2 linked regions of the Neurospora crassa OR74A genome follow. The protein of the gene in region 2 purifies or fractionates together with the protein of the main gene of each other region. This does not show direct contact. Links are inferred from orthologs where the notes say so. Each region holds a gene or a part of one and is shown on either strand. Other genes may lie near its edges.

The links.
Region 1: the proteins of rpt-1 (region 2) and rpn-9 purify together in Saccharomyces cerevisiae (affinity purification with mass spectrometry; 6 studies listed by BioGRID, with this or other methods). This does not show direct contact. The link is inferred for Neurospora crassa OR74A from reciprocal best matches to the Saccharomyces cerevisiae genes RPT1 and RPN9.

What each region holds. Positions count from the first base shown.
Region 1 is NC_026507.1:2,715,834-2,719,124, reverse strand, and holds rpn-9 (proteasome regulatory particle subunit), read left to right. Parts: upstream 1-807; 5' UTR 808-1,182; coding exon 1,183-1,450; intron 1,451-1,534; coding exon 1,535-2,412; 3' UTR 2,413-2,661; downstream 2,662-3,291. Other genes in the region: nuo40 (NADH-ubiquinone oxidoreductase 40 kDa subunit), read right to left, coding at 17-111, 183-259, 326-462; NCU02375 (ubiquitin carboxyl-terminal hydrolase 2), read right to left, coding at 2,885-2,986, 3,074-3,291. UniProt on the Saccharomyces cerevisiae protein: Acts as a regulatory subunit of the 26S proteasome which is involved in the ATP-dependent degradation of ubiquitinated proteins.
Region 2 is NC_026501.1:8,944,738-8,948,487, forward strand, and holds rpt-1 (26S protease regulatory subunit 7), read right to left. Parts: upstream 2,422-3,750; 5' UTR 1,855-2,421; coding exon 1,852-1,854; intron 1,788-1,851; coding exon 1,696-1,787; intron 1,625-1,695; coding exon 1,510-1,624; intron 1,433-1,509; coding exon 323-1,432; 3' UTR 65-322; downstream 1-64. Other genes in the region: NCU02839 (T-complex protein 1), read left to right, coding at 2,611-2,661, 2,775-2,826, 2,901-3,556, 3,663-3,750. UniProt on the Saccharomyces cerevisiae protein: The 26S proteasome is involved in the ATP-dependent degradation of ubiquitinated proteins. The regulatory (or ATPase) complex confers ATP dependency and substrate specificity to the 26S complex.

The DNA of each region.
Region 1 (3,291 bases), on a different chromosome or scaffold from region 2:
GTGGGGAAAAGCTCACAATCATGACCACCTTGCCCAAATCACCCGTAACTTTCAGATGGCGCTTGTTGTACTCGTCGCGGAAGGGAATGACGACAGTGCATCCTTGTCTCGCTGCAAATGTTCTTGATATAAGCCATGGTGATCTCTATAGAGGCCTACGCCACAAAGTCGCCAGATCGTACCTAGTCTGTTGACGATGTAGCGGCCGAGTTGGCCGGTCGCACCGAAGACTGTCGCCGTATGTCCACCGAGGGAGGAGCTGTGGAGGTAGACGACGTGTTAGCAATCGCCCATTCTACCCAAGCAGAGATATAGCAACAATTACCGGCCACCCTGGTTACGGATGATGGGCTTGCCGGTGCGGGTGATGGTCACGTCGGAGATAGCTCGTCGCTGAAAGCCAAAGGCATTGGAAACGATAATTCTGGGAGTCGACCGCATCGCGGCCGTCAAGGGAGCCATCTTGTGAGTTGGGGGGTGGCAGGGCTGGCCGGATCCCGTTCAATTGGTGATGGAATCAGAGGCTATCCGGAGCTTCAAGCTGCCGTCTTCAATATCGAATCCGGGACGTCGAAGCCGGCTCTCGCTGCCCGCCTGCTGCCCGCCTGCCGTCAGCACCCCCCCCCCCCCTTCAATGTACCCAGCGACCAAACTGCTGACGGGAATCACGTGTGCCAAGCTTCCTCACTTACACTCAACGGCAGTACGTACCTCTGCCAGATAGACATGTACCTTTTGGGCTCCCGCCTCCAGTACGTACCTTAGCTTCACCCAGCTTCCACTTGGCAGTGACTGTGGGGGCCTCCACAGTGCTGGGAGAGCATCCACAATGACCGACCGTAGCTGGCTGCACGCCTAATGCCGCGTCAAGGCTTCACTGCAAGACGTCAACCAAGACAACCTCAAAACAACACTTCCACTTTCATCCCGTCCTCCATTGTAGACGTACCACTGCATTGTTCCGCCGGGATTTTCTACAACGAGCAACATCCCACGATAAGTACGCTGGTTTCCATCCGCAGCAGACTCACCGACGTTTCCACCAAAGAGACCGGATCCTCGAGAATCTGCCTACCTCCCCAAGGACTGGACAGCAAGGATCGATAGAAGACTCAGACACACACACCCACACCCACACCCACACCCACACCCACACCCACACCTAGACACAACACCACAGCCATGAACGTCGACACCATCTCCGACTTCCTCGCCGAGCAGCGCGACCAGGCGCCCGAAGAACTCCAACCCCTCGTCCTTGAGTTCGAGACACTATGGGAGCGCAAGCTGTGGCATCAGCTCACCAACCTGCTGCTTGAGTTCTTCAACCACCCCGGCAGTGCCCCGCAGAGGCTACAGTTCTACAAGGTCTTCATTCTCAAGTTCGCCGACAAGATCAACCAGCTCAAGCTCGTTGATCTTGCTCTCAAGGCCGCCACACAATGTAGAGGTGCGCAGACGGTCTTCATTTCCTCTGCTTCCAAACATGCATCTGGCAGCTAGCACTAACCACGCCTGGGTGCGCAAACCGTAGACAACCAAGAGCGCCTCTCCTTTTTGGAAGCCGTCGTCAAGAAGGTCGACCACGAAGACTCTCAAGACGCCTATGTATTCGCCACGATCGCCGTTGCCCGCGTGAAGCTCGACCTCTCCGACCTTGACGGCGCGCGCAAGGACCTGGACACGGCCGAGCGAATCCTCGACAACTTCGACTCGGTGGAGTCGGTCGTGCACGCCGCCTTCTACGACACCAACGCCAAATACTTCCAAGCCAAGTCCGACTGGGGCTCCTACTACAAGAACGCGCTGCTGTACCTCGCCTGCATCGACGTCAAGTCACTTTCACTCGAGGAGCAGCGCCAGCGCGCCTACAACCTGGCCATCGCGGCCCTCGTCAGCTCGAGCATCTACAACTTTGGCGAGCTTCTGCTGCACCCCATCCTCGACGCCCTCACCATCGACGACCGGCACAAGTGGCTGCACCAGCTCCTCTTTGCCTTCAACCGCGGCGACCTTGCCGCATACGACCTACTGGCCAGCCACATCAGCTCGGACCCGCTGCTGGCGCAGCACACGCGCCAGCTGCGCGAGAAGATCTATCTGGCGGCGCTGACCGAGGCCGTGTTTCGCCGCCCGCCCCATGACCGCGCCATGTCTTTCTCCACCATTGCGAACGAGACCAAGGTACACCCCGACGAGATCGAGCACCTGATCATGAAGGCGCTGAGCTTGGATCTACTGCGGGGCACGATCGACCAGGTTGACGAGGTGGCCCACATCAACTGGGTGCAGCCCAAGGTGTTGGACATGCAGCAGATCAAGAACATGAGGCAACGGCTGCAAGAGTGGGATTCCAGTGTTGACAAGCTGGGTAACTGGATCGAGGGTGTGGGCCAGGATGTTTGGGCTTAAAGGGTGGACGAATCTACGGACGGTGTGAGGAGATGGGAACAATTCGGGCGTTCAAACGGATGGCATCAAACCTGGAGATACAGGAGTAAACCTAATGCTTAGATCAGGGAACAAGGCCAGCTAAAGGCATGATGTTATTCCGCTGCATGAGGCAGACCGACTTTGCATGATACATATGAATACCCATAACGCATGACAACGCCCACGGCGTACGTCCTCCATTCTCTAAAAATCCAGGCCCATGCTTTGGCCTGAGTTATGTCTATGTGAATCCTCTCCATGTACGCTCCATGAACAAAGGCAAATCCAAAATACGCCGGCAAAATATGCTTCCTTGAACGCCGCAAAAAGATCAAGTAGTGTACAAAACGTAAATGAGCCATCTGGCACGTGTTTACTGGAAACAACATCATACACAGGAAAAAAATATTTGCTGCTTACTTGCCCCTACTCGTACACCGTTTATCCGAGCTCAAGACAGGGACCGAACAATGTAAAAGAGAAGATAGGCCTTTGCGTTTAGCACATCAGACTTCTGGGCCAGTTCAACTTTGTGATCGTTAAATGCGAACCACTTAAATAAATGTGCCAAAGGCAGCGGGTCAGCAAGTCTAACCCTTCAGGAACTAGATGTGTGTCATGGTTCACTAGTCAGACTCACCTGGTCGCCAACCCGGCAATAAGAAATGTAGTGTCCGGTATCCATGTCGCCAACGTGCACAACAACGCATAGAAGATCGTAAGTGCAGGACCGCTGTAGCTCGTAGTTATCTTTGAGATCCTGTGTTCGTGCGCGTGTCGTATAAGGCAGCATGTTGAGTTGTAAAGGAAACTGGACAGGTGTCTCGATCTTCTGGGCACGATCATTACGCCCTTGTT
Region 2 (3,750 bases):
CACCATGTCTGCCATGGAGTTTTGCTGTCACATTTTGTCACATAGGTATGCAATCGCTTCAAATCCATGTTCATCATCAACAACAGTAGGCATGATACCTATTCATTCCGCCCGTATGTTCATTTCGCTTGTCAGGAGAGCCTACTGCATTGTGCCTACTGTGTGGGATCTGGCGGTCCAAACTCTCCCAAGTCCCAGCTATGAGTGCCATCTCGAGCCGCTCTTGATTCATCATCTATTACACATCTAGACTTCCGGTTTCAACACAAACCAAAAACCCCAAACTCCCCATTCCGCTATTGATGCGCTTCTTCCTCCCCGTTTAGTTGTACTGGGCATAGGCCGCAGTAGAGTTGAACTTGAGGTTGCCCTTGATGACCTTGTCCACCGCACTCAAAAAGTCCTTCTCCGACGCCACCTTCCTGCGCGCACGGATGGCGAACATGCCCGCCTCCGTGCAAACACTACGCAACTCAGCACCCGTCGCGTTCGGGCACAGGCGAGAAATGAGCTCCCATCGGATATCGCGCTCGACTGACATGCTCTTGGCATGAATGCGCAGAATGTTGGCACGACCCTCGAGATCGGGGAGAGAGAACTCAATTTTGCGGTCGATACGTCCGGGACGCATCAGGGCGGGATCCAGCGTGGAAGGACGGTTAGTAGCGAACATAACCTTAATGTTGCCACGGGCATCGAAACCATCCAGCTGCGTAATGAGCTCCAACATAGTACGCTGAACTTCATTATCACCACCCGCGCCGTCATCGAACCGGGCTCCACCAATAGCATCAATTTCGTCAAAGAAGATGATGCAAGCCTTCTTAGTACGGGCCATCTCGAAAAGCTCGCGGACCATGCGGGCACCCTCACCGACGTACTTTTGAACCAGCTCGGAACCAATGACACGGATAAAGGTGGCGTCTGTCCTGTTGGCAACGGCACGGGCGCAAAGCGTCTTACCGGTGCCGGGAGGTCCGTATAGCAGGGCGCCCTTGGGGGGATCGATACCGAGGTTGACGAACCGCTCTGGCGACAAGAGGGGCATCTCCACGACCTCGCGTAGCTTCTCGACCTGTTCCTTGCAACCACCGACATCGCCGTATGTGACGTCAGGCTTTTCCTCGACCGTCATCATGGTAACGCTCGCATCGATCTTGGGAGGTAGCGGAAGGAGAATCTGATACTTGTTTCTGTCGACGCCGACGCGCATTCCTTCCTCGATATCTGTCGGGCTGACTCGCTCGCCCAGCTGGACAACAAACTTGGCGATCTGCTTGACGTTGATGACGTACTTGCTCTTCGATTCGTCCTTCTCGTCAGGGATGATCTTGGTGCACCGCGCTACCTGAAGCGGTTGCTCTTCTGACATACGCTGACGGTCGGCTGCCACATCCCAAAGGTGAGGGGGCGCAAGGCCGGTATCTGATTCCTGTAGACCAAAAAGTATCACTGGTCAGCTAGATGCGCTTCGCGGTTTGTAGGGTAGCCACCGCAAGACTAGCATACCTTGACGCCAATCTTCTCATCCACGCTCTGCTGCTTCTCCTTTATTTGCTGTTCTAGCTTCTTGATGGCAGCACCGTAGGGCGCGGCGCCGTATGTCTTGAGGACCTGAATATCCCTTGACGGGGGTTAGACGACTTGTCCGTTGCGGTGGTAGTGGTGGGCGGGCTCTCTTGGGCGGCAACATACTCGTCTGAGAGGGGAGTGATCTTCTTCTCCTCGACTTCATCGTCGCCAAACGTTTTCCTGTACTTCTCCCAGTTTTGACCTGTGGCAGAAGGCTATTCCCGGTGTCAGTCGTGCAAAGTGGCGTTGCACCTTTGGGTAGGGCGACTGCAAGCATACCATGATGACGGCGGGTGGGAATGACGCTTCCCGTTTGGACTAGGTAAGGCGAAGAAGGGTGGGTAATCGAAAGGATCGGGTCGGTAATTAAAGTCGCGATGGCTCCGGGCGAGAGATTCCTTGTTTGGCGTGGGTCGTTCGTGGGGTTGTAGAGATCTCGGCGCGGGTTTGATGTGGTGTGTCGGGTTCAAGTTGGTTTGATGGGTGTTCAGTGCTTGCTTGATGTGATGGATGGATGGATGGAGATGGTTCGTCAAGGTCCAACTGCCACCACTCACTGACAGAGGGTCGAAGCTCAATCGTTGCCGTAATCCATGCGCTGCCTTGCGGGCGAGGGAGCTACGGGTGGGTGCCACCTTGACAGCACCTACCTAACCCTATCCGGTTAGACTGTGTAAAGTTACAGCGCCGCAGGTACCTTTTCCACCGCCCACCGCTCAGCAAAAAGCAGCCGACAAAAAATTACCACCTGCCAGCCCACCTTTGCGCCCGCGCCAGCACTCACTTTACGGTCCCGCAGTGGAAACATTGGTACGGAGGGGACGGTGTGTGTGTGTGTTTTTGGCCCATTGATTCCAGACCAGCAAAGAAGGAGAAGAGGAGAGCTCTGCCTTACAACACAACAACTGCACTGCACCCAGCGCAAGCCGATTCCCCAAAACTGTCAACTCGAATTTCCGGCAGTTTCTGATCCCCCCATCCGACCTCCCGTCTACTATCTCCCATAATCCCAAATACCAGATCAAACAAGCTTGCACCATGGCGACCGCACCGGCAGCTACCCAGACGGCGAGCAATGCGACTTTCAGGGTGCGTCCCGCTTTTTGGAACCTGACCCCTCGATAGGAGTCGGTGCGAAAGCTCCAGGAGGAGGGGTGAAGCTCTGTGGCAAGCCAGTTGCTGATAGCCCACCATGTAAACAGGACAAGGAGAAGCCCATCGCCGTTCGCTCATCCAACATTGTCGCCGCCAGAGGTATGCCTACAACATTTTGTCATTCCGTCTTGTGTCGTTGTTGTCTGGGGTGCTGACACAGAGACATGCACCAGCCGTCGCCGATGCCGTCAGAACGTCGCTGGGACCGCGGGGTATGGACAAGATGATCATGACTGGAAAGGGGGAGACCATCATCACCAACGACGGCAGCACAATGTTGAAGAGCATGTCGGTCATGCACCCCACAGCCAAGATGCTCGTCCAGCTGTCGCACGCCCAAGATGTCGAGGCCGGTGATGGCACAACCTCGGTCGTCGTCCTTTGCGGTAGCTTGCTCGGTGCCGCCGACAGGCTACTAGGCAAGGGCATCCACCCCTCAGTCATCTCCGAAGCTTTCCAAAGAGCCGCCGCCGCTGCCGTAGACGTCCTCCACGACATGTCGCAACCCATCTCCCTCACAGATACCGCCTCGCTCCTCCAGGCCGCCAACACTTCGCTCTCCTCCAAGATCGTGTCACAATACTCCAACCTCCTCGGCCCCATGGCCGTCAACGCAGTCACCAAGACGATAGATCTCAAGACCGCCGAGAATGTCGACCTCAAGAACATCCGCATAATCAAGAAGGTCGGCGGTACGATCGAGGACAGCGAGCTGGTTGATGGTCTCGTCCTTACACAGCCCGTCATCAAGAGCGCTGGTGGTCCCGTCAGGATGGAGAAGGCCAGGATCGGTCTTATTCAGTTCCAGCTCAGCCCTCCCAAGCCTGATGTGCGTATACCTTTCTGGCGACCATAACCTACCCACCTTGCCTGCTGGCCCTAAATCGCCCAAACACTACCCTTTTCGTGCTTTTACTAACAACTCACTCTTACAGATGGAAAACACCATCTCCGTAAACGACTACCGCCAGATGGACAAGATCGTCAAGGAAGAGCGCACCTACCTCCTCAACATGGTCAAGA